Rhinolophus ferrumequinum: one gene and its partners. The protein of the gene in region 2 interacts with the protein of the main gene of each other region in a biochemical or structural test. Links are inferred from orthologs where the notes say so. Each region holds a gene or a part of one and is shown on either strand. Other genes may lie near its edges. The genes, in order: LAT, PLCG1, SOS1 and LCP2.

Region 1 (6,929 bases), on a different chromosome or scaffold from region 2:
CTTGGCACTGGGCAGGACTGACCGGCTGTCCCCTCTCTTTTCCCACCCCTCCCCGCCAGTGGTCTGGGTTATATCGCAGGCTCCAAAGTGAAGGACATGGCTGGAGATTGGCACTGGGCTCTGAGGGTGAGTCTGTTCTCCACCTGGGGGTAGGTACCTCTCGGCACCTCTTTTCAAAACAGTGTTTCCTCTGCCAAGCCTGTGGAAAGCCTCGCTTCCCTTCCCACAAAACCATGTGCCAGACAGAGCTCTTGGCTGCAGGTGACAGAAACGCATTGTGAAAGTGTAAGCCCCCACGTAGGACAGGGCTGGCTGTCATAATGGAAAGTCCCAGGGTGAGCTTCAGGTACAGCTTGATCCAGGACTCCCACCGTCACAGGAACTGGGTAATCCTTGTCTTAGCTCCCCTTTCCTCTGTGTTCACTTCATTCTCGAGTGAGAGAAAGCTCCACACGTTTATCTCCTCAGTTAGAGACTTAAGGCACCCTGGGTCCTTGCGTAGGAGTCCTGGATAGTATCCGGTTAGATGAGCATGGGTCACGTGTCTGCCACTGAATTGGTCACTGAGGCTGGACAAGTCTGGGTTCCGAGCCCCGTTTGAACCACATGGATTGAGAGAAGCGGGGGGAGTGGTTTCCCAGAAGAAAATCAGGGTGCTGTTACCAAAGAGGGAGCAGTTAAGCATGCAGAAGTGGGGGTGGCCCTAGTGGCCATTGCTCCTCCCCCCAGGTGCAGGCCAGCTTCCTTGAGCCAGCATTAGCCCAGGTGTGTGAGGTCTTGGGGCCTGAGGTGCCTTTACACACCCTCCCTTTCTCCCAGCCCCACAGGTGAGGGTGTCCGCCCGTGCTCGGCCTGAAGCCCACTCTTTCCCCAGGTGACACCAGGTCTGGGAGTGGTGGCTGTACTGCTGCTATTCCTGGTGGTACGGGAGCCGCCGAGGGGAGCTGTGGAGCGCCACTCAGACTCCCCACCCCTGCACCCAACCTCGTGGTGGGCAGACCTGAGAGCTCTGGCCAGAAAGTGAGTTTAATTCCATCGCAGCCCAAGCTGGCCCTCCCTGGGGCCAGGAATGCAGTCACTACTGCCCCCTGTGGCAGCTGCAGGAACTACAGGCCCAGACCTTGGGACCCAGGGCGGCCTCCACCCCCAGTGCCCTGACCTGACTAAAATACACCAGGAGGGGAGAACGGAGTCCCCTCCTCTGACACCTCGGTGGACTCTGACATCCTCCCTTTCAACGATCTGTGCAGCCCCAGTTTCATCCTGTCTTCCCTTGGCTTCACGGCTGTGGCCTTTGTCACGGGCTCCCTGGCTCTTTGGGCTCCTGCATTCTTGCTGCGTTCCCGTGTGGTCTTGGGGGAGACCCCACCCTGCCTTCCTGGAGACTCCTGCTCGTCCTCTGACAGGTACCCAGCTGGGGACTGGGCTGGGTGGCCTGCAGGTGGCAGGAGATGGAGGGGACAGAGGACAATCCAGGCTCAGACAGGGAGAGTCTGAATCCCAGCTCCACTCGCTACTTCCTCTCAGCGTCCTGGTTGGGAAACAGCTGGCGGGAGCTTGGTGACCTGTGGGCTGCGGTGCCTGGGTTGTGTGGGCGACCGGGGTGGACCATCCTCCTCTCCAGGCTGTTGGGGTGAGGCGGGGAGGCGTTGCAGGCAGATGGACTAGCCCGTGTGCCCCCGCCTCCCCCAGCCTCGTCTTTGGGCTCATCACCTGCCTGACGGGGGTCCTGGGTGTGTCCCTGGGGGTGGAGATCAGCCGTCGCCTCCGCCGCTGCAACCCCCGGGCTGACCCACTGGTCTGCGCGGCCGGCCTCCTGGGCTCTGCACCCTTCCTCTTCCTGTCTGTCGCCTGTGCCCGCGGCAGCATCGTAGCCACTTACGTGAGTAGCCAGCAGGTGTCCAGAGGGGTGTTGGGGGTTCAGGGTGGAGGAATGGGGCGCTGGGGCAGGACTGGGCTCAGCCAGCCCCGTGGTTCAGAACCAGCTTGGAGCAGGAGGGCCTGGTTCTGAATCAGCTCTTGCCCTTCCCAGCTGTGTGGCGTGGGCCGAGTGACTTAACATCTCTGTGCTCAGGTTCATGATGTGTAAATGGGAAGAATAGCTCTGTCTCATGGGGGTATTGTGAGGATTAAACGGGTTAGTAGATGGGCCTCCACGTGTTTGCTCTTCTTGTGATGAGATCATCCCCGCTCCCCCACACCACCCTCTGGTCCCCCAGATTTTCATCTTTATTGGGGAGACACTGCTGTCCATGAACTGGGCCATCGTGGCTGATATTCTACTGGTGAGTAGGTGGGCCGGTCCAGCATTGGGCCCGATGCTGGTGGGTGCAGGGAGTGGAGGCCTCACTTGCCTTGAATTGTGGCCTTTGTCCGTTCCGCGAGCCCCCGCCCCACACTGGCTTCTGAGTCCAGCCTCAGGTGGGCCTGTAGTCCCGGCCTGCCCTGCCCTCCCCCATCACACCTGTGACCTCAGCCTCGGCGGAGCCTTGACCCCTTCCTTGCCTGCTGTCTCCTGCCCTCCTCCCAGTACGTGGTCATCCCTACGAGGCGCTCCACGGCCGAGGCTTTCCAGATCGTGCTGTCCCACCTGCTGGGGGACGCTGGGAGCCCCTACCTCATTGGCCTGGTGAGCACTGCTCCTTCACTGGGCCTGGTGGGGGTTGGGGCACCCTGCCTTCCTGGCACCGGCCGGTGGTCAGTGGCCTGAGCCTGGGCTGAACCGGAAGGTTTGGCCCCAGTGAGGGATCCGGGTCTTCCATGCCAGGCAGCCGTCACCTTGGGTCCTCCGCTAGACGGGAAGGATTTTGTCTTTGCAGGTTTCCACAGGGCGGCCGGGGTCCTCTCCCCGGAGGTTCCAGGTCCCCCTTTCATTCTCTGGAGTTTGAGCCTCCCTCTTCCCGCTGCCCTCCCCGTGACCCTGCTGGCTTTCCTCCTCGTCTCCCCACAGATGTCCGACCGCCTCCGCCGGAGCTGGCCCCCTTCCTTCTTGTCCGAGTTCCGGGCCCTGCAGTTCTCCCTCATGCTCTGCGCCTTCGTGGGGGCCCTGGGCGGAGCCGCCTTCCTGGGCACTGCCATCTTCATTGAGGGCGACCGCCGGCAGGCCCAGCTGCACGTGCAGGGTCAGTCGGGCCCCCCTCCCCTTGCCCTAGGTCACAGTTCTGCCTGCTTGTTTGGTCATCCGCCAGCCCATCTGTGGCCTAGCCCACGTCCCTGGCACCTCACACCCCAGCTCTCCCCTCATCCAGCTTCGGGTCTGCCTGGCCCACAGGCTGACGTCCCGCCGTGCCCACAGCTCCGGGGCCCCAGGCGTTTCCCACTGTCTGTCCCACAGTGGCTTTGTGTCTGTCTGTCCAGCCAACCCTGGCTCTGACCCCTCCCCCACCAGGTCTGTTGCGCGAGGCAGGCCCGGAAGATGACCGCATTGTGGTGCCCCAGCGAGGCCGTTCCACCCGGGTCCCCGTGTCCAGCGTGCTCATCTGAAGGGCTGTCCCTCGCCTACCTGCACACCAAACACAGCAGGCCTCGGGCCCACCCCCGGAGGTGCCCGGGCCCAAACCCCCGACTTGGCCCCGCTTCCAGGAGGGGCACTGGGCCGTGTTCCCGCTCCCATACACTACATGGATGGCCAAGGGGGGGGCGTTGTGAGTCCAGGAGGGGACACCTCTCCCCTGGAGCAGCCCCAGGGGCTCGGTGCTATTTGTAACTGAATAAAATTTGTAGCCAGTCCCCAACTGCCTGCTTGAGTCTCTGTGGGTGCTGGTGACCTCCTATCTCAGGACTGTATGGGATGCCCCCTCTCCAGCCCTGGGGGGCTGTTGGGTCAGTTGTGTGGGGCTTCTGGGCTGGTGAACCGGAGGGTGGCGTGAGCTGGCTCCGTGTGACTATGAGTCACGCCCCTGCTTCCCGAGAGCCCGCCCCTTGGCCGGCTGGCTCGGGCGATGGGGTGGGCACTGCCCCGTGCCCCTCCGAATTCCCGGTGCCAGCCTCCCTCCGTGCTGCGTCCGTGGCTGGCCTGCAGCTGTCTCATTCTCTCCCACTGGTACGTCCTGGAGGCCAGCAGCCCCTTTTTGAGGACCTGGGGGTGGCTCCTCAGGTCTCCTCCCCCCAGTCCCCACTGGCTGGGTGGGGGTGGGAAGGGGGTGGGTGCAGCCGGCTGAGGAGCCCGATGATTTCCTGCCCTCACCCGGTGCTCACCACAGCTTCCTGCCGCAGGCAGGCGGGCAGGCGCGGAGGAGAGGCAGGCGCGGAGCCGGGGGGCAGGTAGGCCTGGGCGCGGGGTCCACACCAGTGGCTGGTGCCCCAGACTCCAGCCTAGGCCCTGGCCTGACCACCCTGGGATCCAGGGTCTTCCAGAGCCAGCGCTGACCCCCACTCAGCCCAGTGAGGCAAGGGGATCCGGGGAGCCCTCGAGGAGGGTGCGGCTGCCCCCTCATCAGGCTCCTAGCCGGGTGTGCTGGGCCCGGCACCCCTGCTAGCTCAGCTCTGCCCCTGCTGGAGCTCTGCCCTGGAGGGCGTTCGGCCAGCAGCCAGGCCTGGTCCCAGCTCTCCTGCAGATGGAGGCGGCCGTCCTGCTCTCCTTGGTGCTGGGCCCCCTGCTGCTGCCTCTCTTGGCTGTGCTGCTGATGGCACTCTGTGTGCGTTGCCGAGAACTGCCAGGTGAGTGGGCGCTGGCAGGGGGACCAGAGGCTCGGAGGGACCCACAGGGGTCCTCGCCCCCCTGCCCGATCCCTCACGCCATCGTGAAGTGTCCCGAACTCTGTCCTGCACATGGACATGGAGAGCCCCAGACTCCATCATCCCGTCCCCAGTCACCCCCTCTTCCTGCCTCACTGGCCCTCTCTTCCGCAGACTCATATGACAGTGTACCGTCGGATAGGTGAGTCTGCCCTTGGCCCCTAACACCCACTGCCAGGCTGGGCCTGGGCCTGGGGCCTCTCCCGGCCCCTTACCGAGCTCTGTCTTTCCTGCCAGTTTGACCCCAAGTAGCATCATGATCAAACGGCCTCGTGAGTACATGGAGGGTCCCTTCCTTCTGGGGTAGGGAAGAGAGTGCCCTGGCGTGTGAGTGCCCTGACATGTGAGCAAGTGTGTGCCTGACCTAAGCTGGGGTGGGGAGGGAGATGGGTGCCCCCAGACCTGGCCGGGGTACAGAAATTTCAGGGTGTTAGTGTGCCCTTCGGGGCCTCGACGGCGGGAGGGGCATGATGTCCAGAGTCATTCCTTCAGCTTGATCCTGTGTCCTCAGCCACGCTCGCCCCCTGGCCACCAGCCACTTCTTACCCACCTGTTACGTCCTATCCACCCCTGAGCCAGCCAGACCTACTCCCCATCCCGTAAGTGGCCCCTTCTCCTTCAACCCCCTCTCTCTACCGCTCAGCTCCTTGGGTTGGGACCCCTTCTCTTTTGCAAACCCCGTTGCCCCAGAGCCCCAACCTAGGCATGACCTCTTACTTTTGACTCCCAGGAGATCCCCACAGCCCCCAGGGGGTTCCCACCGCATGCCATCTTCCCGGCAGGACTCAGATGGCGGTACGTGTGGAGCGGGGCCCAGGGCCTGGGGCTGGGCACACGAGAGGCCCTGCCTCAGCTGACTCAGTCTCCCTCTCGCTCCCTCTCTCTGCAGCCAACAGTGTGGCAAGCTATGAAAACGAGGGTGCGTCAGGGACCCTCGGTGCCCTGGCTGGGGGCGGGGGGCCTGCCCCAGGCTCTGCTGACCTCTGTGTCATTACCACAGAGCCCGTCTGTGAGGATGACGATGAAGACGAGGACGAGGAAGATTATCACAACGAGGGCTACTTGTGAGTGGTCAGGAGGGGGGAGGGGGCCGAGCCCCGGTCTTTGCTCACTCGCCCCTTGACTTCCCCTCAGGGAGGTGCTTCCTGATACGGCCCCGGCCACTGGCACCGCTGTCCCAGCAGCTCCGGTGCCCAGCAACCCCGGCCTCCGAGACAGCGCCTTCTCCAGTGAGTCCCACTGTGACCGCCCCCCACCTCTCGGTGCCAGCCCCTCCACGCTCTCCTCTCCGGTTGTTTCTTTGGAGCTTGGACCCCTCTGCGTTCTCTCTTCTCTCTATACAATTGCCATCCTTCAGAGAGAGCACTTCCTGCTCCAATCTTCTGATTTTCCTACCTGTTCTCTCCTCTTTCCTATCGCTCTGGCTTTTTTTGTTTTCCTTTTATTGTCTGCGAGATTTCCTTGACTTTATTCTTCTTTCAGGGCTATTCCTTGACTCTCTTTTTTTATTTTGTGTCGCGGCTCTGAAAACTCTTTGTCGATCCCCAAATGTTCCTTTTTCATAGCTTCCTGTTCTTGTTTCATGGGGGTGGGGGGGCAAAGTCATCTTGTAAATCTCGAAGGGAATTGATTATAGGCTGTCTTTGTTGTTTTTGTTGTTTTGGAACTTTTCTGCTTCCTGCATTGTCTGTTTCCTTTGAGCTGTTTTTCTTCCTTCGTTTTGGTCTCATCCTGCCTGTGAAAAGCTTTCTTCAGTGTCTGTTACTCTCCTCTCTCTATATACGTGCCCCTCACTTCTACACCCTGGCTTCATTTGCCATCCAGATTCTCAACTTGTCGCCTCTTTTCCTGAGCTCCAGACCCTTTGTCCAAGTATTTCCGTTCATTCATTCACTCATTCATTCGTGGTGTTTACTGGGTACCTCTCATAGAAGAGCCAAGGAGGCAGAGTCATGATAAAAGAACTGATATTATTGAGAGCCTAATCCATGCCCTACTAAGAGTTTTACGTGTATTAGCATATTAAACCTCAATTCCCAGGAGCTGTTGAGCCTGGGCCTTCCCCTCCTGTACCTTGGTTGTCCCCTCTGGATGGCGGTAGGGTTTATTTATTTAACAGAGGCTTGGTAGCACTTACTGCTTAATACTTAACACTTCATATTCACTGCTTTAGTCCTCACACCACCACGATG
Region 2 (7,724 bases):
TATTTCAGTCAAGCAAGTGTCCATATGAGAAACTTCTTGTATAATTTATCCCCAGGAAAATTTTTCTCCCCTATGTTGTCAGTTATCAGAGTAGTTTTTGCTTTGGCTACCAGGAAGCTCAGCTACATTTGATGTTAACCCATATTAACCATATTATATTCCTTCTTTTATCATTGTATGTCCCATTTCTATATTACAGTATTTTTGTCCTTTGTTTTAAGTACCCTAAACTTTTTTTATAAAAGCTATTTTATTTTCATTAATTAATTAATTAATTTATTTTAAGGAGGGCACAGCTCACAGTGGCCCATGTGAGGATGGAACCAGCAACCTTGGTGTTACTAGCACCACGCTCTAACCAACTGAGCTAACCGGCCTAAACTTTTTTCAACGGATTGAAAAGAATACATTTGTGGTAAGCGTAGTGATGTGCCATCCAGGTTCCCCTTTAAGAAAGCACTTGTTGCCCCACTGCTGGGAAAGCTGTCAGTCCCCCAAGGTCACCTCAGCTGTGGAAAGCCATCTGGCCAAGGCTTGCTTTTCCCAGGACAGTCCACATCCAGTGGCTGATTGACGTGGGCTCCCTGGGGATTGGCCTGTGTCACAGCTTAACTTCCCTCTGTACCTCCTCCTGTTTCCGTCCTCTCCCTTCCAAGGGCACTCCCTAAGAACACATTCTGCACACTAACCTCTGTCAGAGTCTGCTTCCAAAACACCCCCAACCTTTGACAACATTAACCAAATAACTAAAAATAGAAAACATTAAGTAGGGGTATTATGGAAAGGGGTGAGGATACACAATAAAACGTTCATACCTGCATGAGAGGCAACATAGCATTGACTCTGGAGCCAGGGTGCTGAGGTTTGAATCCATCGCTGCTACCTCTTAGCTATATGTCCATGACCATGTCTTAATCTCTTCATGCCTCAGTTTTTCTCCTGTAAAATGGGGATAAGAACAATACTTTGGGCCAGTCCGGTGGCTCAGGTTGTTGGAGCTCTGTACTCCTAATACCTAGGTCGCTGGTTCGATTCCCACAAGGGCCGATTCCCAGCTGCGCCCTCTACAGCTAACATTGTGAATAACAGCTCTCCCTGGAGCTGGACTGCCATGAGCAGCCAGAGGTTGGCAGGAGCTGCTGCGGGCTGCTGTGTGCTGCCGTGGGCTACTGTGTGCTGCCGCAGGCTGCTGTGTGCTGCCAGGAGTGGCCGGTGGCCAGCATGAGTGGCCGGCAGCCATCATGAGCGGCCAGTAGCCATCATGAGCGGCCGGCAACCAGCGCGGGCTGTCATGAGCTGCTGTGAGGAGCCGACCCACGACCGGCAACCGACTGCCTCAGCCCTGGGGGAGCTCATAATACCAGCATGGGCCAGGGAGCTGCATCCTACACAACTAGACTGAGAAACAATGGCTTGAACCGGAGTTGGAGGGTAGGTGGAAGAAGGGGGAAAAGAAAAAAAGAACATACTTTCAGTGCTGTAATGAATAAATGAGCCTATGTGAGTAAAGCAGTTATGTAGGACTTACTTTATGCTAAGTGCTGTTCTAAGTGTTTGGTAAATAAACACCTGTGACGTCAGGCCCACAGGACCGGAGGGGCAACTGGGCTGGGACTCCTCCCCAGACTCCAGGCACAAGTATTAGGGTAGACCGGGCATGTGGAAGCATGAGTGTTGCTAGAAATAGGCCCAGGCAAGACTAGCCTGGGTGATGTCACAGACATGTGCCTTGTGTGGGTGCTGGGCTGCTCCCTCCTAGCCAGTGCAGCTGTACGCATTGCCAGTGACACCCACATACCCATATATATGCTGAGATGGGGGAAGCCCATCCCAGTCACGCCCTCTGTGTGCCCTGCTTTTCCTGAACATCCTTTGGTGGAGGGAGGCACCTGAGTCCTGGGATGCTGGCTCAGAAATCCCAGGAGGAAATGGGGCCCTGTTTCCTAATGAAGGGCCTGGCAGCAGACTGAAAATATGAGCTCGTGTTGGCAAGGATTTCTGGAGCTCCTGGGGGCCCAGCCTGAGAATCAAAAACGCAAGCAAAAGCAAGGAAGCATGGGCTGCATGTTGGGAAGCTCTCAGAAAATAGCAAAACAGATTTTAAAAGTGCATCACAGCCCGCAGGCTGCCCAAGTTGGCACAAGAAGCTCAAGGAAGGCTATAGGAGTTGGGAGGGGCCCTCCTAGAAAAATGGACAAGATCAGAAAGGCAGGGAGGAGCCCCATTCAGGCCCCACCGGTCTTCCTGGCCTCATTACCCCACATGTTCCACTGCACTAGATAAACGCTAGCCTTCTTTCTATTCCTAAACTCGCGAAGCTCTTTCCAGCCTCAGGGCCTTTGTACGTGCTGTTACCTCTGTCTGGAAAGCACTTTCCTTTCCTTCAACCCACCCTTAATAATTCACCTGGCCATCTACTCACATCCTTTAGGCCTCTGTTGAGTCTTAAAGAGGTCTTCCTTGTCTACTAGATCTGAAGTAGGGCTCTCTAATGTTTTATCTCATAGCCCTCAGTTCTTTCCCTCTGTAGACCTCATCACAATTGTGCCTACATAAGAGAGTGTTTATCTGTTTAATGTCTGTGAATTCTTGGAGGGCCGGTGCAGGGTTTCTCTTGTTCTTCCAAACCATGGCACCAATGCCTAGCACAGGGAAGCTCAGGAGCTGTAGACAGAGGCAGCACCATTTTAAGCCCAAGCCACACTTTATGAGCGTTTGTGTTTTCTGAGTTCCCTGTGCTCAGGGCCACGCATGCCCAAGTCTTCCCCTCACCCATCCCAATTAGCCTCCATGCCCACTGACTGTTGTCCTACTTAAGGCAGTGGCTCTCTTGTGAGGCAGAAAATGCATGGAGTCAGACAGACTTGGGTTCAAATCCCCACTTTTTAGTTTTGTGACCTTGGGGCAAGTTATAGAACTTCTCTGAATCTGAGTTTCCTCGTAAGTAAATTAGGGAAAATAATCCCTGATTAGAAGGTAATTATGAGGATCAGGTGTGACCACATATGTAAGCATTGTATCTCTGGGCAAGTCATTAGATCAACTTTAGTTCCCTTCCATTTTAAAAGCCTGTCACTAGGTGGCAGTCCATCTCAGCCACTCCACCTCCGCTCAGGTGGCTGAAGCCTCCTAGGACAGGCGACTCAACTTCAGGCTGAATTCTCAGCTTCTTAGGGGCTGCACTTGAGAGGGAATCAAAACACACACAAAACACACACCACTACCGCAAGAGGCAGCCCCAGACACTAGTCACCACCCAGCTGGGTGGGTTGCCTGAGCACAAATTCCAGGAAGCCTGGATCTGTCTCTGGCATCAGCTGGGTGCTCCACTGGGCCTCTCACCTCTGAATTGCAGTAAGTTGCCCTGCTCTGCCTTGCTCGATATCTGTCTGACCGGTTCCACTGTGACCACAGGTGTCTTCGGTGTTGGCGGTTCTTTGTGACAGGCAGCTAGATTGCAGGGATGAGTCTAGAGAATGGCTTCAGGAAGGCAAAAGAGTGTGCATTATTCACATACCGGCATATCTCAGAGATATTACAGGTTCAGTTCCAGATCACCATAATAAAGCTCGTATTGTGATAAAGGGAGCTGTAATCTTTTTGCAAGTGGGGGGTCTTGCCTTCAGTTTGTTAAAGACAACACCTGTGAAGCCCAACAAATGAGGCACACTAAAACAGTCAGCCTGTAACCACAAAAAGGCTTTGTGGCTGGAGAATGGGGCGTGAAGGGGAGGTGGTGAGAGATGAAGTAGAAGAGAAAGGGGCCAGACCATACGGGACCTGTTGGGCCAGGTAGGGAGTGTGGATTTTATGTGCAATGGAAAATCATGGAGGCTTTGAGGCTGGAGGTAGGGGACCATGATGTAATTTAATTTTAAAGATTAAAGCATGGAGAATAGATGCAGGCAAGAGCAAGGAGGGTAAATAGTCTGAGTGAGAAAAGATGGGCCTTGGGCTTGTGGATGGAGTGGCGATATCTGAGGGCAGAGTGAACTGGATCTGATGGATTACTGTGTGTGTGGGATTGAGGCAGAGAGGAATCAAGAATATCTCCAAGGGTTTTGGCCCAAGCACCTTAGCATTTAGTGCCATGTTCTGAGAAAGTGAAGACGGTGGGAAGAGCAGTTTGAGGAAGAAGTGAAATGCCTGTGTTAAGTGTGGACGCGGAGTATGGAGAGAGTATGGACGGGATGCAGGAGAGAGACAGATTTGACGTTGCGGGTGCCTGGGTTGGGGGTGACAGGTCGCCTTGGGAACTGGCTCAGGACCCAGCAGAGAGGAAGAGAAGCTTCTGAGGCCTAAAGGCAGCAGCCAGAGAGGGAGGAGGGAAACAAGAGGAGTCGGGCTGTGAAAACCAAAGCTCAGGAGAGCATTTACAGGAGGGTCACCATGAGGTAGGACCTGAGACCACCTCCTGCCTTGTGGACACGGAGTGTGAGCTGAGGTGACAGAGACAAAGGCCACTGGGAGCTGTAGGTCTAAAGGCCCTGCAGGAGATGCTCAGATCTGGTGGGCTTCTCCAAGTTACAGGGCCCTCGAAGGCTACACTGGCCGCAGGAGCAGGACAGAGGTGGGTCTGCGGCCTGCGGGCCAGCCCTGCGCGGCCAGAGAGGAGGGGCGGGCTAGATCGTCTGTCCATCAGAGACCGCAGGCCAATCCGCAGACGGCCCCGCCCCCGCCCCTCCCCGGAGAGGGCGCGCAGAAGACCCGCCGCCGCCGCCGGTGTGAGGCGGCCCGGCCTGGCTCCCTCCGCCGGGCAGCCCGCCCAGGTAACTGGGTTTGGCTGGCGGGCCCGAGGGACGCTCCGCGCCCTCACCTCCCTACCCGGTTGCTGCGCGGGCGGTGCTCGGGGAGTAGGGGTGAGGAAAAAGCTACGACTGGGCCTGAGCGGGACAGTGGGCTGGGCGGCCGCCTGTGCGTGTGCGACTCACTGCGGGGCCGCCGAGCGGCTACCGCGCGTGACGGGGTCGACTGTGGCCACGCAGCTGTGTACGGGGTCGCGTGAGGAAGCTCTGCGGGACGGAGGAGTGGGGGCTTGACCGCGAGCGGCACGCGCGCTCCCGCCGCCATTGCGCCCCCGCCCGGGGCCTCGCCGGGGGTCGCGGGGCGCAGGCGCGGAGGGCGGCAGGCGGGGGTCCTCCCCACGGGCGCGCGGGCGTCTTTGTTCCCGGCGCGCGGACCGGGGCGGGGCCTGCAGGGCCGCCCCGCCCCCCGCTCAGGCCCCGCCCCGCCCCGTCTCCGCCCGCAGGAGCCGCCGCCGGGGCCCGCTCGCCGGCAGCCTCAGCCGCCGCCGCTGCCGCCTGCTCCCACCAGCCGGGCCTGCATCGCTGTCGTAGCCTCTACCGCCCCCAGGACCGGAGCCATGGCAGGCGCTGCGTCCCCCTGCGCCAATGGCTGCGGGCCCGGCGCGCCCTCGGACGCCGAGGTGCTGCACCTTTGCCGCAGCCTCGAGGTGGGCACCGTCATGACTTTGTTCTACTCCAAGAAGTCGCAGCGGCCGGAGCGGAAGACCTTCCAGGTCAAGCTGGAGACTCGGCAGATCACGTGGAGCCGCGGCGCCGACAAGATCGAGGGGGCCAGTAAGTGCGACCCCTCCCCGGGGCCCGCTGCGCGCGCGGGGGCGGCAGAGATCCGCGCCCGCCTCCCGCGCGCCCGCGGCCGCCGAGCGACTTGGACAAACTTTCCGTCCCTCCCCACACCCTCCGGACCCCGCCCCCGCCTCGGTCCCGGTGGTCACCAGGGGCGGGGGGCATCCGGGTCCTCAGTCACCTGACAGGACACCCCCTCCCCCAGCTGGGGGGAGTGTTCTGGCGCTTTGCCCAGAGGCCTAAAAATTCTAGTGAGTTGGAGACCAGCGGGGCAGGCATCGGGTCTCCCACACACCGGGAGTGGTGTCCACAGAGGCGAGGGGAGGCAAGGCGGCGCCCCCCATCCAGCCCCTGAACCTGGGGTGAGACCAGATGGTCGCCGCTCACCACCTTTTCTCCAAAAAGAGCAGTCTTGGTGAAACTCTTTGGGCCCCTAGGCTGGGCTTTTATTTGCAAAAGAACCTTTGGGTTCTTTGAGTAGAACTTAGGCAGATGTTGGAGTAGGGCTGGTTTTGGAGCCGAGCCGGGCCTACTCATCTCCCTCTTGGGGAGGAGGAAGGTGGTCTTGTTTGGTTTGGAAAAGCCTGAGAGAAGGCAGTGGCTGCTTTTTCCTACTGCTGCTTTTGTCCTGAAGCTGAATATTGGAGGTCTGTGTGGGTGAGCAGACACCCAAAGCCAGGGCAGGGACTCTTGGTAAAGATCCAGGCTCCCCTTTCCCTTGGAAGCTCAGTCTCAACTACTTGACCCCAGAAAGGCCAGCCTCAGTGCCTTGGAGTCAGATACTCTTTTCATGAGCGGGCAGCCAGTTTGGGGTCTAGCCCTTTATGTCCTGTGGCTGTAGGGAGCCAGGAGCTACTACTCTTGATTTCTTACCTTTGTGCTCTCCCGGGCCTGAGCATGGCAGCTTTTGTGCAGGTCTGAGTTGGGAGGAGGGAGTTGGGGATTTTTAAAAAAACCCAGATCTCTCAGTGTTATTCCACTTAGCACATGCCTGTGCTGTGGCCGGATGGGCACCCAGCTCTGCCCTGCGTTCCCCCCCCCCCCCCCCCCCCCCCCCCCCCCGCCTCCAAGTGTGAGAGATGATGTGTCACAACCCCAGGCTGTGGGTTGCTTCCTGCAAGGACCGCCCCCCCCACCCCCTCCAGAGACAGGTGTCAGAGCCAGGCTCAGAACTCGGTCCATGTATAGGAGGGTGGTCGGGAACTGACACCCCCAAGGGAAGGTCCTACAGACTTCCTTGAACATGCTGTATATGCATGTAGATGGGTGAGGAGATTGGGAGGAAGGAAGGCCTTGTGGTAAGGCAGCCATCCTCAACTGCAAACTCCAGATCTGACACAGCTGCTGACCTTAGAAATGGCAGCTGTCTTCCTCCATCTCCATGCCCCCATTGGCCCTGTCAGCCATTGCGAGAAAATGTTAGTGATTTGAGAGACTGGATTTCAAAGTGGAGGAAGTACAGACACTGCAGAAAGCTGAGATAGTCTTGGGAACGTCACCCACATATCAGAGTCCAGACACAGCCCCTCTCTTGCTTCTGTGGTGATCCCTATGCTGTGCCTAAATGGGGTCCCTGGCTGGAGGTTCCCAGATAGAGAGCTCCTGGGTAACAACAGGCTGCATTTCAAACCACGCATGTAACCAGCAGGTAATAAGTGCAGCCCAGGGGTTGAAGGCAAGGCTCGATTTGAGGCCTGTATATTAGTTGTGTGTCCCCAGTCAGTTCCTTATCTTCTCCTGTCCTTACTTTTCATCTGTAAAGTAGGAATAATAACATATCCGCTATATGTGGTTGCTCAGGGGAGTAAATGAGAAAATTGATGTGAAAACATCTAGCACAGTGCCTGACACATGATCAATGCTTAGTAAATGTGAGCTGTTGTTAATAATGACAATAACAGATTATGACTGCCCTGCTAGACCCTGGACTGTGAATATTGTGCAGGGGGAGTGTGGGTGTAGGAGAGTCTGAGAGTGCAGGAAGGGAGGAGGATGGCAACTGAGTTCACATTTCACTTAGATCACTACCCGGAAAAGGGTAGGAAAGGGGGTTTTTTTGCCCCAACCCATCTACCTACCCACCCACCTACCATGTAGAATAGTGTGTAGAGTAAATATATGGAGATTTGCACATCT
Region 3 (7,183 bases), on a different chromosome or scaffold from region 2:
TCCCCACTCATCTGCAACGCCTGTTGTCATAAATCAAGTTTCTATATATTTGGCTCTTTATTGATCTATTGATTTGTTTGTCTGATACCACATTGTTTAATTACTCTAGCTATGTAATAAGTCTTCATATCTGGTAAGTCAAGTTCCCTTACCTTGTTCTTTTACAGAAGAACTAGGTTTTTTTTTTTGCTCTTCCATATATATTTTAGACCAGTTTATCAAGTTCCATGACAAACCATTGGTAATTTGATTAAAGTTGCATAGGATTTGTGTGCAGTTAGTTTGAGGGGCCGTTACAGCTTGAATCAACTGAACTTTTGCAAAAAACGACTCTGTAGGGATCCTGGAAAAAAGTGCTAGGAATAATCCCATATATCTTGGAGAGCTTTTTAATCATTTCTTCTAACTGTACTTACCTTGCTCCCCACCATCGAGAGGAGAGAGAGAGAGACAGAGACAGAGACAGAGAGAGAGAGACAGAGAGAGACAGAGACAGAGACAGAGAGAGAGACAGGAAGAGGGAGAGAGGGAGGGAATCAAAGTGTTAACTAAAGGTGATAAGAGGTTGTATTCAATGGTTTTATCACCACTACTTTCTCTGGCGTACTGTCTATGTACATACTATTTGGAGAAGTGGAATTGAAAGCAGGAATTTGAGAAGAAAGTGTGAGAAGCATGAAGGGAGGATATGCTGCTTGAAGAGAAAGGACCTTAACTTTGCTGATGGCTGAAACGGCTGTTTCTATGCTTGTTGTGCTCTGAAGTTTAAGGGGTAGGAATCCTAAATGGGAGATGAGAAAGACTTCAGAGAGAAGGTGGCATTTGAGCTGGAGCGACAGCGTGGATGAGTTCCACGATGAGCGTGTACATGGGTGGTGGGTTGAAGCTGTGGCGGGTGGGATTGAAGAAAAATGGTTATGGGCATTCCAGGCAGACGGAACAGGATAGACAGGAAGGAGAGACAGAAATGATGGGTTTGTAGGAGGCAACAGTAGTTCATTTTAAGTGAGAGATATTGCAGGAAAGATAAGTAGTGGCCCGATTGTGCAAGACCGTGAATGCCAAGCCAAGGACTTTAGACTTTATCCCTGGATGGCAGTGGAGGCTCTTGAATAGGAGAGTAACTGGCTCTGAAATTTGCTTCAGAAAGGTAATTGTGACTGCGTCCCACTGCGGCGCTGGGAAAGGAGCTGAGTGCTGCACTCCCACCTGCAGGGGGCGCGCCGCCTGGCGCAACGCCCTCCCCCGCCCCCTTCCCTGCTGCTCGGGCTTCGACGCGACGCGCTCGGAACTCGTCTTATCCCTCCTGGACACGCCCCCTCGGGCCTCGGCTAGGCCGCCTGGGCCCGCGCCCTGCGTCACGTCCGCTTTGATTCAGGGCCTGTTAGGGCCGAGGGGCGCGAAGAGCACCTTTGCGCCTGCGCCGGGCCGCAGTCGGTGGCTCTTGCTGACCGGCCTCCAAGGCTTTGCGCCTGCATTAGCATGTTCACGGTTATCTTCTGTCACTGCACACTCATAGATGTTTTGATTTGTCCCAAGAGATATAGGCAAACAGCGCAGAGGGGCTCGATCGCTCCCTAACCTTAGCGGCGCCGAGCCCAGCACCGCATCCCTTAGGCTCTCAGCTGAGAGGTGCTGAGTCGCTTCTCTGCAATATTCCTTCAGCTGCTTGCTCTCAATCTGCGGCCCAAACGTTCATACTAGTGAAAACCTGCCCCGGCCGCCCCAGCACAGGCTGTAATCCATGTTTCTAGGCATGTTTTACCTCTGCAATCATAGCAGAGACTCGGAGTTGAAGGGGACCTTGCAGGTCATCAAGTGCAACCTCTTAACCCTCCCCTATGTCCCGAGCGAGTGAATGTATGGTTTTTACTTGCACCCCCAAAGATCGTCCGTTTCCTAGGACAACTCTGATTAGGTAACCTTCCTGGAAGTTTCCTACATTCAACTTTCATTCCTTCAAAATTATTTATTGAGCACCAACTGTGAGTCAAGTACTGTAGGTTCTGGGGATACAATGAGGAACTAGAGTGAAACAAACGATTGTTGATCTCTTGGAGTTTACATTCTATTCTAGTTGGGATAGATCAACAACTGAAAATAATTAAAGGCTGTGATTTATGTTAGCAAAGAAATAAACAAGGCTTATGGTAGAAACATAGGTGGGAACTGCTCAGCATTATTAGACAAGGCCTCTTGGAGGTGCTGACATTTATAACCAGCCAAGCGAACAGTTAGGAGCAGAATAAGTTCCAAGCCGAGAAAAGAGCAAAGCCCTTGAGGCAGGAAAGAGGTTGCTGTTTTCTAGGAAGACAGAAGACCAGTGTGGCCAGAGGGGAGGCAAGGTTGAGAATGCAAACAGGAACCAGACGCAGGCTTTATGGGCCACGGTAAGAAGTTGGAAGAGAACAATGGGAAACCAAAGAATAACGTGGGGCAGAGATTTGATCTTAGTTCAGCTGTTTAGAACCACACAAACCATATCACATATCCTATGTTTTTCCATATCAGTCCTTTAGATATTTGAGCATGGCTGATATGTTTTCCTTTCTTGCCCCCAACACCTCTGGAAGCTATGGTTCTACTTCATTTTATCCAGAAGATTTATGAATGACTTTCAAAACGTCACTCTGAACACTGAAAATGTGGAGAATTTTTCATGTAAATCAGGTGTGTACATTTTTAAAGGAAAGGACCTAAGGCTTTTATGAGATTCTCAAAACCACCACTTAAACATTTCTCATCTCTGTGGTCCTGATTATTGTTCTCTGGAGTAGCAGGGTACAATGTCAACTTCAACCCAGGCTAGTTCTCTAAGTGGTCTTCTCACCTGTGAAATGAAAACTAGAAATGCTATGAGGATTAAATGAGATTATGTTAAAAAAGTGTTTAATGGTAGGCCATAACGCGCCAGCCACACCCGTTCCACTATTATAAACAAACACCTGCATCCCTGGGATGGAGGGACAATTTATAGGTAAAGCTCCTTCAGCACTCCAAACATTCACGAAGTGCCTATTCTGTATAGAGCCCCTGGTGAAAAAAGATCTGCCTTCCAGGGGTCTGGTATCTCGCTGAAAGACCCAGGAGAGATAAACGAAATGTCCACCGTGAAGTGTTGTGGGATCTGGGAGCTGCAGACAAGTCTTTAATTTCCACTGGAGTTAAGCGGTCATCGGAGTTCATATTTGAAATGGGTTTGAAATATGAAAATATTGAATTTTATTTGAAGTGGGTTTGAAAGATGAACATATTGAATTTTAAACACACAGAAAATCAGTATTACACATAAACATTTTATTCTTGATGTGCAAAGGCCGACTGGAAACACTGCGATCACTTCTATTATCTGACAAATACCAAACAGCAGGTATCGTGAGAACGCACCTATCTTTTGTCCAGTCTGTTTACTATACATTGCCTGCTCTGGGCAGTCCTTATCTTCATGTTCGGGAACAAAGTACACACATACACACCCCTTTCCGAAAAGAGAAAGGCAGACTCCAAGAGAGGGGTGGGATCCCTCGTGGCCCAACCACACAATGGGGGCCACTTCACCGTAGCTCGCCCCCTGTCCCTCCGGACCCCCCACACCCCCGCCCCACAAGCCCCACTGTAGCCGGGGTTCGACTTCTCCGGTCCCTATCGCTCCTCCCTTGCAGCTCCAGGGATGCAGTTACAGCCCCTCCGGGCGCCCTCCCTCTCTCGAGCTTCCCTCCTCCTTCGCTGGGGAGCCGGAAAACCCGGAGCGAACTGGCCCCGTCCGGCGGCGCATGCTCAGTAGCGAGCAGGTTCAGTTCGCTAGTAGGAAGCCCCAGCGCTACACCCGCGTCGGCGGCGGCCGCGGCGGCACCTCAGGGCAGCCAGATTCCCCAACAACGACCTCGGGCCTCTCCCCTCCCCCGCTAGACCCCGGCCCCAGCTCCGCCCCGCCCGGGGTCGCTCGCGTTTGGCGGTCTCCGCTGCGCTGAGCGGTCGCCGCGGCCGGAGCGCCCCTCCACACGCCCTCCCCCAGCCGCCGGCTCCGCCGCGGGGCCAGGCCGGGCCCAGGAGCGCAGCCCCGGCAGGCGGGCGGGCGGCGGCCTCGGCAGAGGGCAGCCCGGGGCGGCGCCGGCGGGCCGGGGAGGGGTGGGGGGGCCCGGCCCCTGGGCGGTGGTGCGGGATGCCGCCGCCACCGCCTCTGGGCTGCGTTCGCTCTCTGCGGCGGGTGCCCGTGTCGGGTGGGTGGCCGGCCGCGGGCCTCGCCCCCCAGCCCTCTCTCCAAGGCTAGCCCGGCCGCGCGGCGCCCCGAGGGGGCCGGGCCGTCCGGTGGGGCCGCGGCCCTGCTCCGCGCTGCGAGCTCGCCCTCTCGCGGCTCCCGGCCCGGCCGCCGCCGCCCCCTCCCAGTGCAGGGCGCCCCGGGGGCACCATGCAGGCGCAGCAGCTGCCGTACGAGTTTTTCAGCGAGGAGAACGCGCCCAAGTGGCGGGGGCTGCTGGTGCCTGCGCTGAAAAAGGTGAGGAGCGCAGGGGACCCCGCTTCCCGGCTGCAGCCCCTGCGAGGGCGCCGGGCCCGGCTGGGCAAGGCTTGGGGAGGCGGGGCGCGCGCGGGGCCGTCTTTCTTCCCGGTCTCACTGCCTCCCAGAAAGGACGGCACACACTGAGGTTCCCCCGCAGTCGCTGGCTGTCGGTGTTGACATTCACTCCGTGTGTGAGAAGGCCGCAGGAAAGCGGGGAGCGTTTGTCCAAATCATCCAGTCCCTGACAGCTTAAGGTCCTGCCCCTGATTCTCTCACCAGAGTTGGAGCAGCCTCAGGTCTCAGCGGAGGTCAAAGCAGGCCACTTTTCCGGCTTCTTGGTCTTACCCAGACCCGCTGTCAGCCTCCGGTTTTAGGTGTCCAGTCTGCCCGTTTCAGTGGGCTCGATATGCTCTGGCCATAATGCTTGCTCTAAGTAATTGCAGCGCTCGCCTGCCAGCAGGAATATGGCCTGCTTTGCTCGCCCTCTGTAATCACTCTTCATTCCCCCGAATTCCTCCATTCCTCCCATTAACAGGCGCGGGTGTGCAAGCCACTCTTTTTTCTTTTCTTTTTCTTTCTTTCCAAAATCTGAGAATTTTGGCACTATCATTCGGTTTGTGGATCAGAAATTTTAAACTTCCTGTGTTTCTTCAAGTTTGCCACATTGTTACCTAACGTTATATACCCCACGACTTGTACTTTTTAAATGTTTTAGTGTAATTAGGAAATGTTGCTACATTTTAAAAGCTTCTAAAGCAACATTGTGACTTAAATACATTAAAACATCAGGAACTGGTGTGCTTGAATGAACCTTAGAAACAACCAGAGTATTTTTTTGTTTTCCTTTTACTTTTTCTATAAATATAGAAATTGCTTTCTCTTTTAATAGTGTTTCTAAATCCCAGTTTCTTGTTGCTCAAAGAATGATTCTTGTTATCTGGTGAAAATATTTTTACTCCTACTGAGAGTTCAGATTATGGGTGTACCTTTTGTTCTAAGCATTTATCCTTTTAAAAACTGTCTCTTGAAAGGTGTCTGATATTTCTCAAAGGCCAGCAACTTTTACTTTCCCTTTTGCCCTGTTCTCCCTTTTCCCCTCTTGGTATCTTACAGTGGAAACTATTTGGTTTGTTAGCAGAATTTGCTCATATATTTCAGATCTAAGTTAATGACCTTTTTCCTTAGATATCTGACTAGCCACACACATCTCTGTGATACTGTTTTAAAGAAAACCAAAAACAGATGCTATTTGCCTTATATTCATTAGGCTTTATTCATTAGAAATCTCTTCAGGCTCTCACTGTATTTCCTTTTGCTTTACCTACATGCTACATCTTAGCTTGTAATAGAAGGTGAGTAGGAGGTCTCAGTGATGCCAGACCTGATTGGTATCCTGACCGAGGTGGAGAGGAGACAGAAAAATTGTTAAAAAAAAAATACAAAAAACCTCCTAAAACACTATCAATTTGGGGCTATTTTGTTTGGAAGCAAGCAACGCCTGTCCCAGGGGAACCATCAAGATACTCTTATCAATTGAGGGGACTATGAAGCAGTAAAAAGAGCAGGAGTTGGCAGACCAGGTCCAACTCTGCCACACTGGTGGCCCTTGCTAAAATCTGTCCACAGAAGCATTTGGTTTGGCTGGCACCGTGTTGTTTTAATTTTAATGTAATTAGTTGCCAATGTTTAAAAATGGGAGATATTACATAAAATCAGAATTTTGAGCTTTTCTTGAAGAGTAGCTCTCCCCTCATGGGCCCGCTTTCCAGCAAGGCAGTAAAGTGCTGCAGCTGCCCTCTTTAGACAGCATGTAGTATTTTCAGTTTACCACAGCTCTCCACCAGACCTCTGCTTATTTACCTAAACCAGCTTTGACTTTAAGCAGAAATGCCCTTGTATGACAGAAGTGATGGGAGGAGGTGGAAGGATACACAATCTAGTTGATAGGTGAGGTTCTTCCAGTTCTTTTTTTAATTATTAGTTTCAGGTGTACAAAACAATGTACTAGTTAGATATTTACACCCCTCACAAAGTGATAACCCCGTCCCCCCAATCTACTACCTCTCTGACATCGTATACAGCTATTACAATACCATTGACTCTATTCCCTATGCTGTACTCCACATCCCGTGGCAATATATGTATACATATACTTAATTATAGTTGACATTCAATACTATTTAACTTCAGCTTCAGGTGTGTAGCATGTTCTTCCAATTCTTATTTAAAATATCTACTATTGATGATTCTAAGCCACCTAAAACAAGGTTAAAAATATATTTCATATCTGGACATGCTTTGGGTGGCTCAAAACCTGCGTTTTCATCTACCTGCTGCTGTGTTTCCCCAAAAAGAAGACCTAGCCGGACCATCAGCTCTAATGCATCTTTTGGAGCAAAAATTAATATCAATATTACATAAGAACCGGTCTCATATTATAGTAAAATAAGTCCGGGTCTTATATTAATTTTTGCTCCAAAAGACGCATTAGAGCTGGTGGTCTGGCTAGGTCTTCTTTTTGGGGAAACACAGTAGACATTTAATTTGGATATCTCCGTATCTTGAACTCCTCCTTTAGACTTATTGCACTATTTGCCGATGTGCCCAACTTGTGTTATCTTACCTGAAGCTCTGTGGAGATCCTGTTATTTTCACCTGGACTGCCCTTTGCCTGGCCTAACACTA
Region 4 (7,873 bases), on a different chromosome or scaffold from region 2:
TGGCACCCAGCCTGCCCCTCCCCCCAATCTGCCCTTCTCCATCTTGCTGGAAGGGCAGGGGGTAAGGTGTTTTCCTCTTTCCTCTTTCCTGAGAAGCCTGCATTTCCCTCTCCTGACCCCTGCCCACACCCTTGCAGGCTCTTAGGGAATTTCCCTTTGAGCACAGCTATCTGGGGATAGGCTGCCCAAATCAAAAATAGGGCAGACAAGGAAGGGAAGCTTGACAGGAAGTCCAAATAAGCACTTCCTCCCGCCCACCTTTGAACTTCTGAGGTATCTCCGCTAAAACAGCAGAGAAAGATGAAGACAGAGGATGAAAAAATATGTATTTTTTTTTTAAAAGAATGAAATTGTCAGCTCTGAGGAAGTGGAAAATATTGCTCCTCATCACCTTGCATGCAGCGTCTGGTTCATGCTTTCCTCATGCATGTCCCAGGAAGGGGGAGGTGTCCAGTCTGGGCTGGGAGGAGGGTCTGAGCAGTGGTCAGGACAGAGCGCAGTGTGGCTTGCAAGCGCCCCTCCCCCACTGCCCACCCCGTGGCCTCCACCAGTACTGGTGAGAACGGCTCCTGCACATCTGGGGATGCTCTTTGGCAGGCCTGTCCCTCCTGGCACACCCATTCGGAGGCAGGGTCACTAAATTCTGTGCCTCAGTGTATGGCTGCCAGGTGTGTGAAGCTGCCCTGCCCAAGGGAACAGTTAGGACCCCATCCTGGCTCTCCTCGCTTGACCCTTCTGTGTGGTTGAGCCATTTGCCATCCAAAAGGAGTCCACACAGAAGGGGCTTCCACTGCCAGCCTTAGAGAACTGAGGGGAAAATATTCCCTCCCTGTGAAGGTGACCGCTACAGTTCTCGTTCCTTCTGCAAGCAAACCCACACAGGCCCTAGAGAAAGTACCAACAGCAGTTCACCTCAGCCTCAGGTGATACATCGAGCCATTAAAAGTTGGTGGAGGTGAGGCTGGGATGAACCCGTATGAGGGATGGCACCCTCTCTGGGCCACTTTCTACCACCTCTTCTCCTTCCCCCAGCCAACACCCTCCTTCTAAATTAAATACAAACTAGCGCATCATCCCACCCATCCGCTAACTCCTTAGGTACCTCTCCTAAGAAGGCCAACACATTCTCCGCTCCAAAATCCCTACTTTCCATTCTCTCCTGGTCCCTAAGCAACAATTCCTTCCTCCGCCCTCACGCACAGAGGCTGAGACTCCCAAGTCCCCGTTAATGACCTGCTTATTTTTTCTCACCCCTAAATTTAGCTGTGAAAAAGGCAGTTATCTCCCCCCCTACTCTGCTGTGGGTTAGCTGGAAAGGGAGGGAGCTTCAAGTCTGGATGGGGTGGGGTGGGGCAGGGAGGATATCGGGGTGACCTCCCTCTAGGTTGCAGTGTGCTGCTCCTACATCCACTTTTGGTCCCTAAGATTGAAAAATCTGACGTATCACTCCCTGCAAGTGTTCCTTTCTTGTCCACAGGCTCTGTTGGATACACGTTTCAGATTCCTATCCCGTGACCCCATTCCTGGTACTCCCATGAGGCAGTCCTTACTGTGTTCAGAGACTAGTTGACCCCTTCCTAACCTTGAGGTAAAGATTACAAAGCCTAAGAAGGCCTCTGTTAACCTTTCAATTTGCTCCTTCATGAGGGAGTGCTGGGAGAGGGTCCTACCCGAGCCATGGCTTCACATCTCTGCCTCTTACCTGTTTCCCACTCTGCTTCATGCTCGAAGCCAAGACCAATGCTCGCTAGGGGGTCGGTGGGAAGTTGGCCTGACCGTCATTGCGGCAGCCTCCCCCCGGCTGTGGGCTGTACCCAGAGGCTGCTATTGTCACTGCCCGTGTTATAGAGCCTGAGACTGAGCCAAGGAGCTGGCCTGCACAGGGTTACCTGGTCCTCCTGGCGTCCTGACCCTCTCTTCCCCAGGGCTAACTGGCCCTGCAACAGGAGCTTCTAGAACCCTCCAGACAGGCAGAGACAGGCAATGTGAAACTTGTGAGCGTTGGGAAATCACCGAGGACTGGGGAAGAGGAAAGGCTCCAGGTCTCAGGCAACCAGCTTCCCCTTGCGTCAACTGCTCTCGCCTGCACAGCTGCCCTTTTCTGAGGAACAGGCCTGTGATCCTGTGGGGCGGGGTCACCAAAGCCCTGCCTCCTGGAAAGGGCTGCATCGTCTTCTTAACTTGTCCAGACTGCCAGCCTCACTGGCTCTTCGCGGAAGGCAGACGGATAGAGTGGAAATTGCACAGGCTCTGGAGACACAGCTGGGTTTGAATGCCTACTCCAGCTTGGGCGATTTATGTAACATCTCAGAGCCTGAGGTGACAGAGAGGTAAAGGACAGGGGCTCTGAACTCAGAGAGAGTCCAGGCGAGACCCAACTGCACAACCCACATGCCGGGTGCAAGGGGGCACGTTGCTTCACCTCTCTGAGCCTCAGTTTTTCCTTCTGTAAAGTAGGAGTCACAATGGCGCCAACAGTGAAATGAGATAATTAGTGAACAGTTCTCAGTCCCTCCCTGGAGCACACGCAGGGCTCCATGTGTTGCATCTGCCATGATTCTGATCATGTCGTCATCGCTGTCACCAGGTTTCTTAACTGCTGTGTCTTTCTTCTAAATGGGCTCCGTGTGTACTGGATAATTCTTCCCTCAAAGCCTCATATTTAGCGATTCCTTAATTCTAACGCCTGCTTTTCTGTAGGCAATGGGAATGAATGTCATTAAAAATTTTGTTTCTACTTTTCAGGATGATCTTGAATGTTCCTTTCCACAGGTGTGGTGTGTTCTGTTTGCTAATGAAGTACACTCCAACATATTACACACACACACGCGCACGTGCATGCGTGTGTCCAGAATGCCCTCCATCTTCCCCTTGCTTAAATTACAGCTAATTCCATGACATCTTCTTTGATCATTCTACTTGGAAGTGATTTATCTGTCTCCCTTTTTTTCAAATGGTGTTTTATTGTTCGCTGCTCTTCTAGTGACTGGAAAGTGAAGTGACCTCTCCCAGCAGTGGCGGGCTTTTGAAGAGTAGGCCCATGCCATGTGGAGCATGGCCAGTTATGAGAGAGCGTGCTTAGGTCCAGGCCCTGTGAGGAGTTCTCAGCCTGGGCTGCCTCCACTGACCCCCCTAGTGCCCTGGGGGGGAGCATGACACCAGCTAAGTTTATGGACCACCTCCGTAAAGGAGCCCAGCCTGGGATGAAATGCCAATCTCACTGACACTCGCAACGACAGGCTGATGCATACAATGGCAGACATGGTACATGGCCAAAGCTACCCTCGAAAAAGCTCAGGAAGGCACCACCTCAGGACCAATGCAGCATCACTCAATAAATGCAACAGAGCTGGGTTCTTTCCTCAAGCATCAGAGCCATGGCCGTCTATGTGTACGTGCCTGGAGTACGAGATGAAACAGTGAACTTGTCTTCAGAGGCGGCAATGGTGCCTACGAGGTCTGACAATTAAGTTCACGAACTTGTTGCTAACCTTTTTGATATCGGAGGGATTATTCATTATAAATGTGTACCAACTGGACAAACAGTTAACCAAGTTTACTAGTTGGAAGTGCTGAAAAGGCTGCGTGAAAAAGTTAGATGAAAATGAGCTGAACTTTTTGCCAACAATTCATGGCTCTTGCATCACGACAATGCACCAGCTCACACAGCACTGTCTGTGAGGGAGTTTTGAGCCAGTAAACAAATAACTATTGGAACACCCTCCCTACTCACCTGAACTGGCCCCCAATGACTTCTTTTTCTACCCAAAGGTAAAGGAAATATTGAAAGGAAGACATTTTGATGACATTCAGAACATCAAGGATAATACCACAACAGCTCTGATGGCCATTCCAGAAAAAGAGTTCCAAAATTGCTTTGAAAGGTGGACTAGGCGCTGGCATCGTTGCATAGCTTCCCAAGGGGAGTACTTTGAAGGTGACTGTAATGATGTTCAGTAATGAGGTACGTAGCACTTTTTCTAGGACGAGTTCACAAACATAATTGTCAGACCTCATAAATACATCTGCTTTTAGCCACTGTAGTCAACCTCTGCTAACAAGGCATTTAGACTATGAGGAGTACACGGAGTCTGAAACCGACTGAGGAAACAGCAGGTGCCCATCTCCTGTCTCAGGGCCACGCCAGGAAATGTGCTCTGGATAGAATGTATGGTGGAAACAACAGTGAACAGAATATATGGCAGCATCAATAGCAATTATTGTTTTTTTCTTTTAATTCTTTTTCTTTAAGTTTGTCTAGTTAAATGCATCTACGTTTTATGTACATTTGAAGTAATCCTTCTGTTTTCCTCTTTAACAGATCTGGAAATTCCCCTTGACTCAGTGAGAGTCCTAGATCATACGTCCTTGCCTAAGCTGGCACACGGCAGAGACTTCATATCAGAAATTACACCCAGTTCTGCCCGGCACAGCCCCTCTCTCAGCCCTGGGTGCCCACCCAGCTCACTCATGAAGAATCCTCTCCTAGGACCTCTAAGGAGGTAGCTGAAGGAACCTCAACTTTATCCCTTTGAGAGAGACTGAGGGGTGGTTAGCAAGCATGAAAAGGCCATGTTCCTCCCCCAGCAGTGCACTGATGTGGGAAATTGTCTATATTTTAGGTCAACTGTCAAAATAGGTTTTCATCAGCAAAGGCGCAGCCAAGCAGGAATGTGGTGTGGACACATGGGTGCCAAGAGTTCTAATGGAAGCCTACTTGGACTCACGGGAGAGTCTACGTCCCCTTCGTCACCCCTCCCACCCGGCTGGGGTGGCTGGGACCAGCAGGGTATCACCAACCCTGTCGCTCTCTCTGTCTCTCCAGTCCCCAGAGCTGAGCTTCCTTGTTTACTTATTTAGAGCCCAGCAGAGGAAGTGGTAAAGGAAACTTGCTGAGTCGTTTTCTGAGAAGAGACCATATTTGTTCGCGGAGGAAGACGTTGCTTTCTGGGATCTGGTTACAGCAGAAAAGACGTTTGCTCCAACGAGGCTGTTCCAAAGAGTAACTGGGAATTGGAAGAGCCAAGGACACCTCCACACCCTCGATTTGAAGTTCTCTGTCCATGGGTGCAGCGCCCACACTCAGCTTTTGAGCTTCCTCCTGGGAGAGCAGCCATGGCGTTGCGGAATGTGCCCTTCCGCTCAGAGGTCCTGGCCTGGGATGCCGAGAGCCTCGCCGACTATTTCAGGAAGGTGAGCCTTGCTCTTTGTTGGTGGCGGGACTGGCAATGTCCTCGGTGGGCTGGACAGAGGCTTGAAGATGGAGTCCAGGCCGCACAGGAGAGGCGGAAAAGATAGCAATGGAACTTCCAACCTCGCAGCAACCTCCCCAGTTGTGCGAGTGCCATGTAGATACACCTACACCCCTGAGCGTTCGTGGTAGTGAGAGCTGCGGAGAAGGGAGGCCCTCGAATGAATGTGCAGCTAGTATGTGCCAGGGCTTGAGTGTGTGCTCTCGAGGCTCTGTCCCATTTAATACTCTCCAGTGTTGTTGTTCCTTTGACTCAGCTGCAAAATCAGCTCAGTGAGGTTAAATGGCCCAAAGCCCCAGGGACTACATGTGACTGAGGCAGGATTCCAGTCACGCCTGTCTGGTTTCAAAGTCTATGCTCTGAGCTGCAGAATTGCTAGAACTACTCGTGAGATCAAGGCTACTTACTAGAAAGGGAGAAATGGAGTCCAGGAGGCAGGAGAAAGAAAAGGCAGGGTAGGAGGGATGAAGAAGGCTCTGATGAGCAATGCGGGAGGTGGCAGCTGGGCAGTCAGTGCTCATGACCCTGAAAGCGGGGTCTCAAGCCCTTATATGGGACAGAGGCTCGTTGAAGCTTTATGAGAGTCTTGTGAAGCAGGTCAGAAAACCGATAGGAGCCCAGGTTATAGCCAGGGGAACTGAGCTCCCTACAGAGGAAGAGGCTTAGCCAGGCAGGGTCAGAGGCTAAGCTTGTGGCAGAGCTGAGGCCAGAATGTTGCCGTCCTGCCTTCCGGATGTGGAGATGCTCAAGGATCCCTGTGCTCGGTCATCTGCTGCTGGGACCACAGTTTATATATCTGTTTGGGCAGATCCCAAGCTACATGACTCAGTAAGGGACCCTGTGTCCCTGTCCAAGGGATACAGAGTCTGTGAGGGACACTTGATTCTCTCACACCCCCATCCCTGAAGGCTGGCAGTAAATTCAGTTGACACTCCAGACTGTCATAAAGAGGAGACGTTAAAGTCAAGGCTTAGAGATCTAACTCAACTTTCTGTTTTTTTCTGGGGGTGGAATACTCTCCTTAGGACACCGAGCCAAACCTGGGGTCTATAGGGTACCAAGAAATTGACTATCACAACTATTCTTCCCCAAGCTAAAGAAGAAAAGTATGAAAATGTTGAATGACATGATAGAGGGACAGCCGACAGAGCCTGTTATTGGCTGCTTTGTGTGCATCTCATTTCTGTTCTTATTCCCTCTCAAAGGTCATAATAAACTTTTGACATGGTGGGTGTTAAGATTGAACAACTGACTTTTGAAGGATGTCTCTACATACTTATCTTAAATGTAGATCAAATAAACTAAGGCACAAGGTGAAATTTGCCAAAATGCTGTCAAGGGGCACGTTAACTCAATAAAGAAAGAAGAGAAGAATTAGGGAGGGAAACCCGGGGACAGACTGAGAGGCACAGACAGTCCCCATCTCCAATGTGAGAAGGAGAATGGCACAACCCAGTCCAACAAGCGAATCCCTGGGTAACGAATGTCCCCCTTGGCACAGGGAGATGAACTATGGGTTAGGGATGATTCAGGGAGCATGGCCTCTGCCTGAGAGAGAGCTTTCTTCTTGGAAATCCCAGACTCTGGGACAAATTTGTAGCACCAGGACAGGTTACTGCTCTCAGCATAAAAGAACAGGGGAGAGGAAGAAGGAAACGGAGGTGCATCTGTGATCTGGGAAGTCCCAGCCTCCAGGACTCAGAGAGACACCCTCCAAATCCTGAGCACCTGAGTCCTCAGAGAGAACGTACCGATTGAACCAGCACGAACGGATCACTTGGGGATGGACCCTAGCCACCCGATGCCCTAGTTACAGGATTGATTGTCAAGTCCAGTTTCTAAGGAAGCAGTGGGGTCAGGCCTTCCTTGGAGACACCTCCCCAGCCAGCTCTGGAGTCAGACACATCTTAGTTTCACTCCTGGCTCTGCCACCTGCTAGTGTGGTGACCTTCCTTTAGTTACTCGACATCTCTGTGCCTCAGCTTCCTCATCGGTTAAATAGTGATAGTAACTAACCTCGTGGGATTGTTGGGGGAATTAAAGGAAATAGTGGGTGTGAGGCATTCAGCAGAGAGAGGGGGGCAATTCATGTTCAATCTTCCCTTTGTCCTGCTCTGTTCACTGGACCCTCGCTGGGGTGCCCAGGCAGACTGGCAGGTCTTTGTGTCTTACTATCTCAGATACGTTAGCTCATCTTGTGTCTGGAATGTGAGCCCCTGAGGACTGAAGTCATGTTTTATATTCCTTTAAGCCCTCCTATCCCCTTTGGCTTAGCAGGACAGCTTTCCTAGGCTATGCAGTGGAGAAGGCACTGGCTCAGAGCCATGGCTTCTACCCCCAGCTGTGTCCCCAACTCACTGTGTGACTTGGGGCCAGTCCCTTCCCCTCTCTGGGCCCCAGTTGGCTCTTCTACAACCCGAGGTACCTGCTCTAGACCAGTGCCAACCAAAGCTGGGTGCTCATAAGAATCATCAAAGTATTTGCTAAAAATATAGACGCTACCCCCCAGGCCGTGAATCACAACGAACTTCCAGGCAAGTTCCAGTCTGCCAGGCTATCTGTCTATTTAGAGTTGAAGTTGGCACGCTGCAAAATCAGAGATACGTCTGATAAAGATGCCA

What was found.
Region 1: the proteins of PLCG1 (region 2) and LAT form a complex in vitro, tested with the Homo sapiens proteins (2 studies listed by BioGRID and IntAct, with this or other methods). The link is inferred for Rhinolophus ferrumequinum from reciprocal best matches to the Homo sapiens genes PLCG1 and LAT.
Region 3: the proteins of PLCG1 (region 2) and SOS1 form a complex in vitro, tested with the Homo sapiens proteins (2 studies listed by BioGRID and IntAct, with this or other methods). The link is inferred for Rhinolophus ferrumequinum from reciprocal best matches to the Homo sapiens genes PLCG1 and SOS1.
Region 4: the proteins of PLCG1 (region 2) and LCP2 form a complex in vitro, tested with the Homo sapiens proteins (2 studies listed by BioGRID). The link is inferred for Rhinolophus ferrumequinum from reciprocal best matches to the Homo sapiens genes PLCG1 and LCP2.

What each region holds. Positions count from the first base shown.
Region 1 is NW_022680357.1:1,328,950-1,335,878, forward strand, and holds the start of LAT (linker for activation of T-cells family member 1), read left to right. Parts: upstream 1-3,916; 5' UTR 3,917-4,042; intron 4,043-4,215; 5' UTR 4,216-4,556; coding exon 4,557-4,659; intron 4,660-4,851; coding exon 4,852-4,879; intron 4,880-4,974; coding exon 4,975-5,009; intron 5,010-5,248; coding exon 5,249-5,336; intron 5,337-5,467; coding exon 5,468-5,532; intron 5,533-5,626; coding exon 5,627-5,801; intron 5,802-5,871; coding exon 5,872-5,966; intron 5,967-6,929. Other genes in the region: SPNS1 (protein spinster homolog 1), read left to right, coding at 60-126, 875-1,020, 1,251-1,406, 1,693-1,882, 2,220-2,285, 2,531-2,629, 2,951-3,122, 3,389-3,483. UniProt on the Homo sapiens protein: Required for TCR (T-cell antigen receptor)- and pre-TCR-mediated signaling, both in mature T-cells and during their development.
Region 2 is NC_046306.1:15,662,959-15,670,682, reverse strand, and holds the start of PLCG1 (1-phosphatidylinositol 4,5-bisphosphate phosphodiesterase gamma-1), read left to right. Parts: upstream 1-4,723; 5' UTR 4,724-4,859; intron 4,860-5,248; 5' UTR 5,249-5,362; coding exon 5,363-5,579; intron 5,580-7,724. UniProt on the Homo sapiens protein: Mediates the production of the second messenger molecules diacylglycerol (DAG) and inositol 1,4,5-trisphosphate (IP3). Plays an important role in the regulation of intracellular signaling cascades.
Region 3 is NC_046296.1:44,779,845-44,787,027, forward strand, and holds the start of SOS1 (son of sevenless homolog 1), read left to right. Parts: upstream 1-4,173; 5' UTR 4,174-4,408; coding exon 4,409-4,495; intron 4,496-7,183.
Region 4 is NC_046307.1:36,963,472-36,971,344, reverse strand, and holds the start of LCP2 (lymphocyte cytosolic protein 2), read left to right. Parts: upstream 1-4,864; 5' UTR 4,865-5,115; coding exon 5,116-5,193; intron 5,194-7,873. UniProt on the Homo sapiens protein: Adapter protein primarily involved in signaling pathways within T-cells, as well as other immune cells such as platelets, mast cells, and natural killer (NK) cells.